Linked DNA regions of Daphnia pulex. The protein of the gene in region 2 interacts with the protein of the main gene of each other region in a pairwise test. Links are inferred from orthologs where the notes say so. Each region holds a gene or a part of one and is shown on either strand. Other genes may lie near its edges.

What was found.
Region 1: the proteins of PAN2-PAN3 deadenylation complex subunit pan3-like (region 2) and cyclin-K-like interact in a two-hybrid assay, tested with the Drosophila melanogaster proteins (3 studies listed by BioGRID). The link is inferred for Daphnia pulex from reciprocal best matches to the Drosophila melanogaster genes PAN3 and CycK.
Region 3: the proteins of PAN2-PAN3 deadenylation complex subunit pan3-like (region 2) and PAN2-PAN3 deadenylation complex catalytic subunit PAN2-like interact in binary tests that used the Drosophila melanogaster proteins (3 or more experiments, as listed by UniProt). The link is inferred for Daphnia pulex from reciprocal best matches to the Drosophila melanogaster genes PAN3 and PAN2.

What each region holds. Positions count from the first base shown.
Region 1 is NC_060021.1:10,001,353-10,005,380, reverse strand, and holds cyclin-K-like, read left to right. Parts: upstream 1-1,552; 5' UTR 1,553-1,567; coding exon 1,568-1,689; exon of another isoform or gene 1,690-1,774; coding exon 1,775-2,032; intron 2,033-2,101; coding exon 2,102-2,216; intron 2,217-2,313; coding exon 2,314-2,419; intron 2,420-2,483; coding exon 2,484-2,541; intron 2,542-2,630; coding exon 2,631-2,803; intron 2,804-2,875; coding exon 2,876-3,411; 3' UTR 3,412-3,438; downstream 3,439-4,028. Other genes in the region: GTPase Obg-like, read right to left, coding at 3,458-3,852, 3,915-4,028.
Region 2 is NC_060025.1:5,199,252-5,203,619, forward strand, and holds the start of PAN2-PAN3 deadenylation complex subunit pan3-like, read right to left. Parts: upstream 2,861-4,368; 5' UTR 2,624-2,860; coding exon 2,243-2,623; intron 2,180-2,242; coding exon 1,855-2,179; intron 1,708-1,854; coding exon 1,549-1,707; intron 1,434-1,548; coding exon 1,155-1,433; intron 1,076-1,154; coding exon 858-1,075; intron 776-857; coding exon 636-775; intron 533-635; coding exon 332-532; intron 264-331; coding exon 101-263; intron 20-100; coding exon 1-19. UniProt on the Drosophila melanogaster protein: Regulatory subunit of the poly(A)-nuclease (PAN) deadenylation complex, one of two cytoplasmic mRNA deadenylases involved in general and miRNA-mediated mRNA turnover.
Region 3 is NC_060021.1:6,585,498-6,589,600, reverse strand, and holds the start of PAN2-PAN3 deadenylation complex catalytic subunit PAN2-like, read left to right. Parts: upstream 1-1,299; 5' UTR 1,300-1,346; coding exon 1,347-1,642; intron 1,643-1,739; coding exon 1,740-1,860; intron 1,861-1,928; coding exon 1,929-1,989; intron 1,990-2,046; coding exon 2,047-2,182; intron 2,183-2,244; coding exon 2,245-2,909; intron 2,910-2,974; coding exon 2,975-3,135; intron 3,136-3,197; coding exon 3,198-3,464; intron 3,465-3,535; coding exon 3,536-3,836; intron 3,837-3,910; coding exon 3,911-4,103. Other genes in the region: DNA-directed RNA polymerase III subunit RPC1-like, read right to left, coding at 1-760, 818-953, 1,032-1,075. UniProt on the Drosophila melanogaster protein: Catalytic subunit of the poly(A)-nuclease (PAN) deadenylation complex, one of two cytoplasmic mRNA deadenylases involved in general and miRNA-mediated mRNA turnover.

The DNA.
Region 1 (4,028 bases), on a different chromosome or scaffold from region 2:
CACATGCACAGCACAGACGAAATATTTATTGCTATACTCTCTTGTGCTGTGGGTCGGCTGCTGCTGCTGAGATGTCTACCGTGTTCGTGTGAGTGGCCGATTGCGCGCATCACTGGCCTTTTGATCAGCCCACGTGACCAGTTTTGCAAGATGCCTAAAGCGAATTTTTTGTTTGGTTGAAAAGAATATAGAAAACCGTCTGGTGTTGCTGGACGACAACCATGTAGGTTCTTCTTGACCACTGTGTGTATATGCAATATGAATTGGTGTCCAGTATAAAAGCCGCACAATTCCAACAGATTGAAACTGTGTAGACCATCTATATTTGGGTGATGGATAGTATACAGTTTCACATTGTGATTGCCATGTTTCAGACAAACTTCCGTATTGCGTGTTGATACTTAAATGCTGGCCGATAGTTTTGGGGGTAAAACAGCACGTACGCATCCACATGTCTGATCATATATAGCACAGTAAAACGTGAGAGCGTTCGCTTGTACTTTGCCCAGGTGGGCACAACAACACAACCTAGTCAGAAAAAAAAAATAAATAATAAAATAAAAGAAGATTTTTTTTTCTTTTTTCTTTTTCCAGGTCACTGGACGCGCAATCCCTGCGGACAATCTGGCACACGACGAATTGGGAATGCGCTTAATTCAAGCATAAGGTTTGCCGGCCAACTCTAGCCCCTGGGCTGGTACGAACCTAGTAGTATAATGAAACCGCCACAGATCGAAATTCAGTGGATAGTCTTCGGATACTTTCACGTGGCAAATGGTGCTTCTTCCATATAGTTCGCGGTTGATTCTTTTTATATCCGTACACCCGAACATTTCAATGCACACGAAAAAATAAAGCAATTCGCAATAGACATTGCACATAGCGTGTGTTTGTTCGACAGAAATCCGCACTCAAATTTGGAAAATTTAAACCCACATGTGAACTTGCGATGATTAATATTAAGGATCACACCTAGCAATGTTGTTGATTTGCTTAGTTGTGATAGCTTTTTAATTGGGTATGTCCTCTTTTTCCGACATCGGGTGCGTGGAATATAGCTCCTGACCTGTACTTTTTTTCCCGCTTGGCACTATTAATATACCCGTGTCCGCAGGAGCCATAATTTAAAGACACACTGTATTAGAGGTGAGACTGCGCATATGTTTCGTAACAAGGGCGATTTCCGTCTCGAATGGTATTGCTATTCCTAAACCCTTGGTCCTCCAACATGTAGTTGCATTTGGTTTACTAGGCGATTAACTAGAAGGATCTGCCAGTTTTTAATTTCTCATTTTATTTCGCGGACAGTTTCTCTGATTCTATATTAACTCTAGCCTTTCAAATAGGGGACTAAACATGGAGATAAAAGTTGACGAGTTGTATAATTCTGTTGAAGTTATTTTTTATTGCATAAAACTTGGGAGGATTTGTATTTCGAAAGGCCATATTTCGTCAACAGTCTTGTTTTTTCGGGGGATTCTGAGATGGCGTCTAGATGGCGTTCCATATATTTGCAAATGGGCGTGGCAAATAAAATGTGGAATGAAGTAGATTAGTCGAAGTACAGATGTCGCTACCAACTACGAAACGAAGCAGACAGCATTATAATAGTTACAGCTGTCAAGTGTTGGCATTTAACATCAAGCTGAGATTTAACGAGCAAGCTCATAGAATTTCTCAAAAGAGCTTGTAATCTTGATTTTCAGTTATTTAACTACAATTCACTTTATTTTTAGTTATTTTTTTAGTTATCATTCATATAAAAGCTATTTAGGTTTTTCACCTCCGCTGACATGCCGTGCTGGTACTACGAAAAGAAAGATCTGAAAAGGGAGACTCCTTCTATTCACGATGGCATCGATTTTGAAACGGAGTCTCGCTACCGGAAAGAAGGAGCACGTTTTATTATTGATACTGGAACAAAAATGGGACTTCGTTATGACACAATGGCAACTGGAGTGGTTTACTTCCATCGATTCTACATGTTTCACTCTTTCAAAGAGTTTCCTCGATATGTCACTGCATGCTGCTGGTACCTTTTATACTTGAATAGCATATTTGCATAATGATTCATGCTAATGTCCTTTAAATTTCTTTACAGTCTGTTCCTTGCTGGCAAAGTTGAAGAAACACCCAAAAAGTGCAAAGACATTATTAAAGTTGCAAAAGCGTCATTGTCAGAAGCGCAGTTTCAACAATTTGGTGAAGATGCCAAGGTAACATCTTGAATTGCTATATCTTTCTCTAACTATATCTCTTGTATTCTATAGTTTGGTCTCAAACATAATGTTTTCTTTCACTTATTTATAAAAGGAAGAGGTAATGACACTTGAAAGAATTTTACTGCAGACCATAAGATTTGACCTTCAAGTTGAACATCCATACGGTTACCTTATAAAGTATGCCAAATCCCTTAAAGGTAAGCAGAGTTTTATCTTCCAAAATCACTGATTTTAAATTATACTATTGATTAATTTCTGAAGGAGATAAATCCAAACTTCAAAAAATGGTGCAGATGGCATGGACATTTGTTAATGATAGGTGAGCAAAAGCCGTGCTCTGATAAGCAATTATTGTTTTTGCTGTGTTAATCTGATTTTACCTACACTTACTATATTTTGTTATTTTAGCTTATGCACCACATTATGTTTACAATGGGAACCAGAAGTGATTGCCATCGCTCTCATGTATTTGGCTGGGAAATTAAGTAAATTTGAAATAACGGATTGGAGCGGTAGACAGCCACGGCATATACGATGGTGGGATATGTTTGTAGAGGACATCAGTTTAGAAATACTGGAAGGTATTCTCTCACTTATCGGACGTTATATTTTTTTCTTCTTACTAACGCTGGAATAATTTTATTCTTTTCTAGATATCTGTCACCAAGTATTAGATTTATATTCCCAACAGCCTGCACGATCAGATTCCCCTCAAGGGAACGCGGGACTCGTTCCGACGAAAGTACAGCCTGTTTTACCAATTACGACTCCCACGAAGCCAGTTAGTGGGCGTAGCGCTGGAGGATTCGATCAACGATTAGACGCTATGCAACCTAAAGTCGAAGTAGCTGCGGCAGCGGGATACGTGAATTACGCAATGGGGGTCACCAATACTAATTCTTTACCTGTTGGCGTTCCACCCAACATAAACGTGGCTCCGCCTATCAATGTGCCTCATCCACTTCCACCACCACCAGTCGGACATTCGTTTCCATATCCAGGTTATCCTATGATACCTCCTACAGCGAATCCCCCTGTTCCTCCGACTCCACCACAAGTTTACCCTCCTCCGCTTCCGCCAACGCAATCAGCTCCCTTTTACCCAACATATCCTTCTTTCCCTGGGCAAGTGTATCCTCCTACGCCAACTTCATCACAACCACTTCCTCCTCCGCCTCGCCCATATTAAAAGTTTGAAATATAACTTTAGGTCTTAGCAATTTCTAAGTTAAATTTTATTGTTCTTTTTCATCAAAATTCTCTTTAGTAGTAGAACTATCATACAACTGTCGAACAAAATGCAGAATAGGAAGAACTCCTACATTGTTCATGGCTGAAACAGGGAAGAGAGGTAGATTAATTTTTTCAACATACTGCTTTAGTTCTTTGAGGTTTATGGTTGATTGGGGCAAGTCCATCTTGTTGGCTAAAACACCAGAGGGTCTTTCGAGTAGATGTGGATCGTACTGTTCCAGTTCATATCGGAGGACTTCAAGTTGCTGCCATGGTTCAGGCAACGAGGCATCCACGACATATAGCAAACAAAGGCACCGTTCAATATGACGCAGAAATGCAATTCCCAATCCTCGATTGCGGTGCGCCCCGGCGATCAATCCCGGAATGTCTGCAACTATTTGAGACACAAATAAAATTGTAAAAAATCAATATAAAAAAAAAGTTGATCTCAGATACCAGTCACTTGTTGGAGGTCGTCGTATTTTACAACTCCTACGTGTGGCTGCAATGTGGTGAATGGATATGGAGCTACCTTAGGTCTAGCACGAGAGATAGACCGTAGGAAAGTAG
Region 2 (4,368 bases):
CACGAGATGTTAAGCATATCTAATGCAAGTGAACGTAGGGGAAAACAACGCAGAATATAATAATACACTTCAATTCTTTCTCAAATTATGAAGTCCTTACTTTGTCATGAGAAGCAGTATCTAGTCGATTGAGACATGCGACAATGTGGGCCAAATCGACCCATGGTCGTCCATCATCCGTACAAGGATGTAACATGTAGTCGCGAAATAATTTAAGCAAATATCGGTCTCCCGTTTCTGACCATGTCGAATCCAAATTTAACCTTAAACATTCAATAAAGTTTACTTCGATAGGTAACTAGACTAACTTAACCAATTTAATTTGCCTTACTCTGGACGATCAACAACGGTTCCCAATTTTCCAAGCAAACGAAATAACCGGCCATTATCCAATTCTCTGGCTAGCTGATCTTCTAGATAGTCGGCATGCAGAGTGGCGGCTTCTAACTGGCTGAAAAACCTTGCTCCAATCATTGGCATCACTTCCTGTATGTTTTTCGATCTTGAACCTTGCGTAGTGGAGAGCAGATACCTAACGAAATCATAGTTCAGTGGGCAGTTTTACAGAGTATAGATAGTTCTAACCCAGATTGCAGTTTTTAACGTATCTACATATAATATTAAAAAATACTCACATCACCAAATTGCGCAGATCTGAAGAATAATTTTTATTGATGATATCCATAGATGTAGAGACATTATCCCTTTGAAGTGCCAACAACGAATTACAAGCCAGGGCAAGAATAAGTTTACCCAAGGCCAAAAGGTCTTCTTGCTTCATTTTTAGTCATAAATGATGACAGTTAAACATCAACTATATAACAATAAGTATGTTACAAAAGGAAAATTTTACATACCTGATAATGAGGAAGCAAAGCTGTGATGTTGGAAGAACTAGAGTCATAGGTAAGTACATCAAAAATTCCACCACCGCACAAACGCAAACGGCCTCTTGAAGTTATAAGTACTTTAGATGGATCTAATGCTCTTACAGCCAAACCAGCAGAATGTACTGATCTCAACGCCGAGCACAATTCGATTATGTAACTCCAAAGTAAAGATTCAGGTAACACACCTTGCAAAAACGCGGAGGCATCAAAAATAAAATAAAATACTCAATAAAATAATAATGATAATGAAAACACAAAAACAACCTTTGCCAGCTTGTTGCTGCAGCATTCTGTTTTTCTGCATTGTATATGGACGCGGAGCAGATGGGTCACTGCTGAATGGATCAAGGTGTGGAGCAGTCGAAGCCAAATACTTAGTCATAAGTGTTTCAGCTCCAGGGTAATAATCATATGCAAAAACTATAGAATGGTCACCGAAGGCCTTGGTAGTGAATGCTTCTCGCAAAGTCACTAAATGACACTGCTGCACTTTCCTCCATAACTCTACCATTGACATACATTTAGCACTTGTCACTCTGTAACCTAAAGATATTATAAACAATAATAATACTCCAATAAATCTCAATACTTCTTTTTTGTAAGGTTATATATTAGGTAAGAAGATTCAGTTTAAAGTTTTTATTCATTTAAATATTACCATGAATCCTTTTCAAGCAATATCTCATGCCGGTTCTGCTATTTGATGCTTTATATGTAGATGTAATTAAGCCATAAGTGTTAGACTTGACAGCATGATTCAAAGTGTGGGTTTCAAGGGGGACCAACTCATGATAGTGATCAACTTCCGTTGGCAAATCTAATTAAAAGAATGTATGCAATTTAGATACTTCATAAAGTTAATGTATGTTTGTAATAAAATTGATTGCTACAATCAAACAGCTCAGATAAAGTGTTTCTTAAATAATAAAATATAAACTTAGGACATGAAATAAGTTGGCTATACCTGGAAACAAAGCAGGGTCTGATATAGATAATGCAACTGAATTTCTTTGAAGTAAGTCAGCTCTTATATCTTCATTCATAAAAAAAGAAGATCTCTGCTGACCACTACAGCTCTGTAAAAAACTGGAAGGTCCACTATAAACTGAGTACATCTGATTTTGTGATGTTGAGACCAATTGATTTGGTGATTGAATTCTTCTATTTAAAAGAGAAGTGTGAGACATTTTTTCAGTAATTTGACTGTGTTTTCCAATTATTGGTTCTTCTACAGTGGGTTTCACATTTTCATCTGGCGTGTAGTAATAAGTGGTACCTCCAACATTTTCCTGAGTTGTGCAAAACAACTTATTAGATACAACAATAGATTACAATGAACAGAACACACATACCTCAAAAAGGGACGAATTAGAACCTCCAGCTATTTGCAAATCTGGTGATATGGGTAACTCTTGTGATTTCTGCACGTATTCATCTTTAATTAAAATTGCAGAATTAGACAACGGAATTGTGTTTACATTCTTCCCAAATGATTGATGTAAGCAATTACTCTCTATAACTGACAAACTAAACTCTGTCGAATTTGAAGCAGTGGAACTGACTGAGCGAACTGGAGATGAAAATGAATTCAATGGAAATGTAGGTGAAACGCTTGATCGAGAAACTGAGTTGTGCAAAAACTGACAATCATTTCCATAAAAACAAGTTCCAGAGGCGGCAAAATAGCGACACACAACAGGCTTACGTGAATGGCTAATTATATCGTCCATCATAAACCTTTTTAAGACAATTCTCTGTCCAGGCCAATAACGACCAAACCAATATTAAGATTCTGCCCCTCAGAGTCAAACACTATTCGCAAATGATATACACTGATACACTTTACAATGTACAGAAGACTATAACAATGAAGAGAATGTAATTTCTACGAAAAATAATATAGGCCTATTTCCTATTCGTCGAGCTCGACAAACCAACAAACCACTTCAACGATTAGCAGTTGTTTTATTCAACAGAGGGCGAAAAGTACCATTTACTTGACCATACTGACTGCATGCTGTTGCTGGCTGACTGATGCTGTACTGCTTGGTTGAAGCCGAGTGCCACGAAAGATGTCGTAGCATGATGGACACAAATGAAGGCGTACTTGATGGACTTCATGCACAACCGGCACCATGACCTGCACAACCGTCAAAACTTTCTATTACCACGACATCTATCGTGGGAATAATAAATCGATGATCGCAGGTTGCCTGAAAGTTTATTGAGCAGTTGGACGGTTGCAACCAGTTTCGCCACTTTTTTTCCGCCCCAGTTTCGTCGAGTTCGGCACCACTTTTTTCCGTTTCAGCAGAGTTATAGATGTATGGTAGAACCATTTATAAGGAAAGGCCTTCCATTGCCTTTTCCTCCTGGAAGTGTTCTGGCTGGAGACCTTAGTTACAGAGCCACAGCGGGTGTGTTGGGAAACATATTTTTTTTCCAGTACTAAAATTAAAAAAGATTCAGTAGATGGCCGCTGGCGCTGACAATTAGGTCTAAATCGATACGTAAGCACATATTTCCACTTTCGATTCGCGATATTGGCTGCAACTTTAGAAAAAAATTTTTAGAGGAAAATTTTACAGGCAGTGGTTCTACCATCATCTATAGCTCTGGTTTCAACACTGTATTTGTCTGTTTGCACCACTGCCGTATTGATAGCTTGCTTTGGCCTCATAAAGTTTGGTCAGCTTAATGCAGCAGGTAATTCTCACATTTTAAAATTAATACAATATTTCAAAATTAACTGCGTCAGCGGCATGGCCTTTTTGCTTCCTCGAGCTCCGGAAGCTTTGCCTTACTTTGCGATAGGGGCGGTCCTGAAGGGGGAGAACTACTGGGAAATGCTTCCGGAGCTCGCCGAAAGGAGCAGCGCAGTCGAATTCGTCGTCTGAAGAGGGGGAGGGGGCAAAATGTCGACTGCTGGACTTTACACAGAGTGGCCCATCTCCTTATCACTGCTAGCGACTGGATATTGGATCCAGAAGTGTTTGGAAAGAATGATCAGTTATGGCCAACTAATATTGATCTTTTTGCGTTGCCCTGGAATAGAGTGGTTCGAGGATGCCATCTTGGATGGGACATTTCCCAGTTTGGTGCAACCTCAAACCAAAAACCATTGACATTGTCCATAAGAAAGTGTACGAATTGAAAGACAAAGGGAGAGAGAAAAAAAGAGGGACCGACCCCTTTCTTTCCCACTCCATTCTTCCCTTCCTTGACTGTCCTTCTTTTCGTACCCTTTTCTTATGGACAACGTCAATGCTTTTGGGTTGTGGTTGCACCAAATTGGGAAAAGTCCCATCCAAGATGGCAACCTTCCTTCAACCCCCACCAAGCCGCGTTTGTCTTTCCTCCCTTTTCTCCAATTTTTCGTTGAAAAAATAAGAAGGGAAAAAGCAACCGTTGTATTTGTTTGTCCGGTCTGAACCAGCCAACCCTGGTACCCGTTGTTTCTAGAGCTTTGCTCCGACCA
Region 3 (4,103 bases), on a different chromosome or scaffold from region 2:
GCAAAAAATCCCAGTCTTCTAGAATCATTTGGCTTTTTGCACCCGAGAGACGGTGTTTAACAATGACATCATTCAGGAAGACAATTTCTGTTAGTTTCATTGTCAAATCATCCTCGTTTGTCCCCGATTTCAAATCGGACACTACAGAAGGTCGAATGCAAACAGGAGGAACTGGAACACGGGTGAGAATCATGTCCTTTGGATGCCCATGTTCAGGATTCATCACCAAAAATTGGATATCTTCGTCTGGAATTCTCTCAAACAGATGAAGTACTTCAAGTGGATTTAACATTTTAACCAAGCCAGATGACAACATTGGTTCAATCTCCTTGTTGAACTGCACAGCATTCTCATAAGCCACTAACTCATTTTTTAAAATAACGTTGTCTTTCTTGATACTTCTAAATTTTTCATGGGATATCTTCAGCATGCCACACTTTTTCACCATGCCATTGATGTCATTGCAGTTTGGGCAGCGTGTTACTTTTTTGCATACTTCTTGAATTTGCTTCCTCAGTGCTTTCTTATTTAGATAAGGTATTTTTGAACCCTTTAGTTTGGCTCTGTAAATTTTTCTCATCTTTTCATTAAGCATTACATGAGAGCAAGATTTGCAAATTGTTTGCAAGATAGTAATTACAGCCTTGAAGTATCCAACATGGAAAACTGGAAGTTCCAAATCAATGTAACCAAAATGGCCTACACATTCTGTCAGCCCTTTTCCGCAAGTACCACATATTGCATCTTTAACACTCATCCCCTATGAAAAAATAGCAGTTAAGTGTGGATCTCTTTAAATATTTAAAGAGTAAATTACCATTCTTCTGTCCAACATTCCATACTGCATAGGTGTTCGTCCAGCATCTCGGTTATACAAATTCTGAGCTACCACTTGAATGTGAGATTGCTGTTGTATTTGTTGCGGACTTTCAATTCCAAAGCTTACTCTTGCTCTAAAAGTACATAATCGTATTTAATCTTCTATACCTATACTAATGTGAATTAGAATTTTGAGTGTTAAAAAAACTTACATTTTTCTAATAACGTCAGTCTCACGGTATTGCTCCTTCACCATCGTTAAAACTAGTTTTCAATCATCCACTTGAAATAGTTTAAAATGATAAAATAATTGAAATGAAGAAATAAAAAGCACGTGTTACACCGGCATCGATCAGACGAATTATTGATGGCAGGAAAAGACTAAAGAGTGATGAGCTTTTTTTCTTTTCGTAATGAATTCGTCGTCAACTAGTGTTGACTATGTTGACTATCTAAGTAAGTTAACAAACGCAGCCCCTAGGTGGCACTTTACAGCAAAACGAAACGAAATGTCTTGAAGTTGAAAGATGGATTTCAATGTTGGCGTTTTTTCAGAGAAATCTTCGATTTTAATTGATGGTGGAGATAGATTTGGTGTGTCCGCAATTCATTGGGACCTTCAGGAAGAGCTGCTTTGGGTTGGTAATCAAGGAGGACATGTCACTAGTTATTATGGCTCTTCTCTACACAAATACACATCATTCCAAGTTCATGCATCTCAAGAAGTCAGACAGATGATTTCTTTTGATGCTGGTTTACTTATAGTAACCCCAAACACTCTTAGATGCCAACAAAGGAGAGGTGTCCCATTATTCACTTACAGGTTTGCATAATTGAGTGTAAATTTTCTAAATTGTTTACGTAAGAAAATCATCCACAATATATCATAAAAATAACAATTTAATATAAACTTCTTCTAGCTCAAGTACTTGTGAAGATCTACAATGCTTGTTACAAACAGGGCCCACAACAGTTCTACTTGGAGGACACCAACCGCTGGTAGTAGAATTTGACCTTGTGACAGCGAAGGAAACAACAAAAGTAAAGTGAAGTTAAAAACCATAACCTCCATAACATTTATGATAAATATATTTCTATTGGTTTATTAGTTTGATGTAGGAGAAAAGGGATGTGCAATTCTGAGACGACACCCTAGATTTATCTGCTCAGGTACAAAAATTCTTATGAAATACACAAATAAAAATTCATCCTTCCTTAAATAACTAGGTGACGCTAGTGGATGCGTATCATTAAGAGATCCTCGAACTTTACGTGAAGAGCATAAATTTGTAGCACATACTGAAAGCCTTTCAGATTTTGATGTTCATAACAACTTGATTGTGACTTGTGGGTTTTCATCCAGGTAATTTTTCTATATTATATAACAGAAGTAAGTTAAATTATCCAGTTGTACTTATTAAATAGGCAGGGAGGTGTGGTTTCGGATCGCTTTTTGAAAATTTACGATGTTAGAATGTTACGAGCTCTCAGTCCAGTTCCTGTGGTCGGAGAACCATTTCTATTGCGGTTCTTACCAGCATTCTCGTCCCAATTGGCGGTTATCTCTGCCATGGGACAGTTACAGGTTCTTGATGCAGCTGCTCCTGCATCTTCAGCTCTTCAACTTTTCCAAGTGAATAACGAGGGTGCTATGTGCATGGCTCTTGAAGTTTCATCTTCTTGCCAATGCTTAGCTGTGGGGGATGCCGGTGGATATGTTCACACCTTTGCATCAAACGCATCAGCTTTATTTAACAGCTTTTCTCGACCGACGGAATTTGCCGATCCAGTAGAATCCCTTCCGGTTTCGATCGCCATGGACGATACTACGACGCCACTCACTTCAATCCCTTTCCCCTTAGAACACAATTCGCCGCTGCTATCAGATTGGCCGGAACAGTTTACCCGCAGGAGATTCCGTAAAGTTCCACCTATTGATCATGCTATTCTGTCAAATATGCGCATGGTAGGCACTATTGGTTATGCTCCAAGTCCAGCTGATCATAGACCTAATCAAGTGGCCTACTCAGCCGAAAAACGAACACAACGTGGTCAGAAACATTCGGGAACGGATTCAACACATTCAAAGGGTTAGTCTGAATTAATTTTTCACAATTTTTATGTTTTCACCATTTTTAGCCAATTTCCCTTACAGAAGATACTGAATGCTATCAAGTGTGGAAACGATATCGTCATATCGAGATGAGGTACACAAAGGGTGGCCTTGACGAAAATGAGTTAGCTCGTTACAATTCCACGCCCCTCTGCGGTTTGGATAATACACTTCCTTATTCATATGCAAACTCTTTGCTGCAGGTATGAGTCTGATTGCTTACATTTTGATCTGTGCATTTTGACTGTTCGTTTCTTAATTGAAGGTGTTATATTTCATTCCGGAATTACGTCATTGTCTTCTTGAGCATTCCTGCAACCGAGAATTTTGTCTTGCCTGTGAGCTGTCATTCCTTTTTCATATGCTGGATGTTGGTAGAAATCAAGATCCTACTAGTACTCCAGTTACAGTCCAACCATCTAATTTTCTTCGGGCTTTCCGCACTCTTCCCGAAGCTTCGGCAATGGGACTGTTGATGGCAGAAAATCATCCTGAAATAAAGATAAAAAGTACACTTCCTAGGCTTGCTCAGGTAATTTTCAGTTATATATTAGTTTCTCTTTGTGACACTGATTCAAAATATTTGTAAATTTAATGTTACAGAGCTGGGCTCGTTTTATTCTTCAACAACTTAGCAGCGAAACCTTGCCTCAAAGCAAGATAACAAAAGAATCGACCACAATTACAAGTAATTTAGTAGAATTTAACGGAGAAGGTACGGAAAATTCTATTAAACCGGAAAGAGATGTTTCACCTTCTGAGGATGGTCTGTCACCAGTGTCTCCTATCTCTAAACTGTTTGGTGTTGAACAAGAGCAGATTAGCCGCTGCACAAAATGTGGAAGCGAAAATTCTAAAACTTCGCCTGTGCTTCTCTCTTCCCTTACTCTGCAAGATGTGGAGGGTTAGTGACATATATTTTTTATTATACCTAATTTACAAGGCACTTTGTCTATATTTTACTCACTCGATCAATAGATGAACACAGCTTCGAACATGTACTTGAAAAGAGTTTTGACGTAGCAAGTGTGACTCCGGCCTGGTGTGAAGTTTGTCAAAAATATCAAGCAACTCAGCAAAGAAGACGTTGTCTAACATTACCGCCAGTTCTTGCTCTGTCCTGTGCTAACGATACCTATAAAGGTTTTCGATTTTGGTCAGATCAACTACA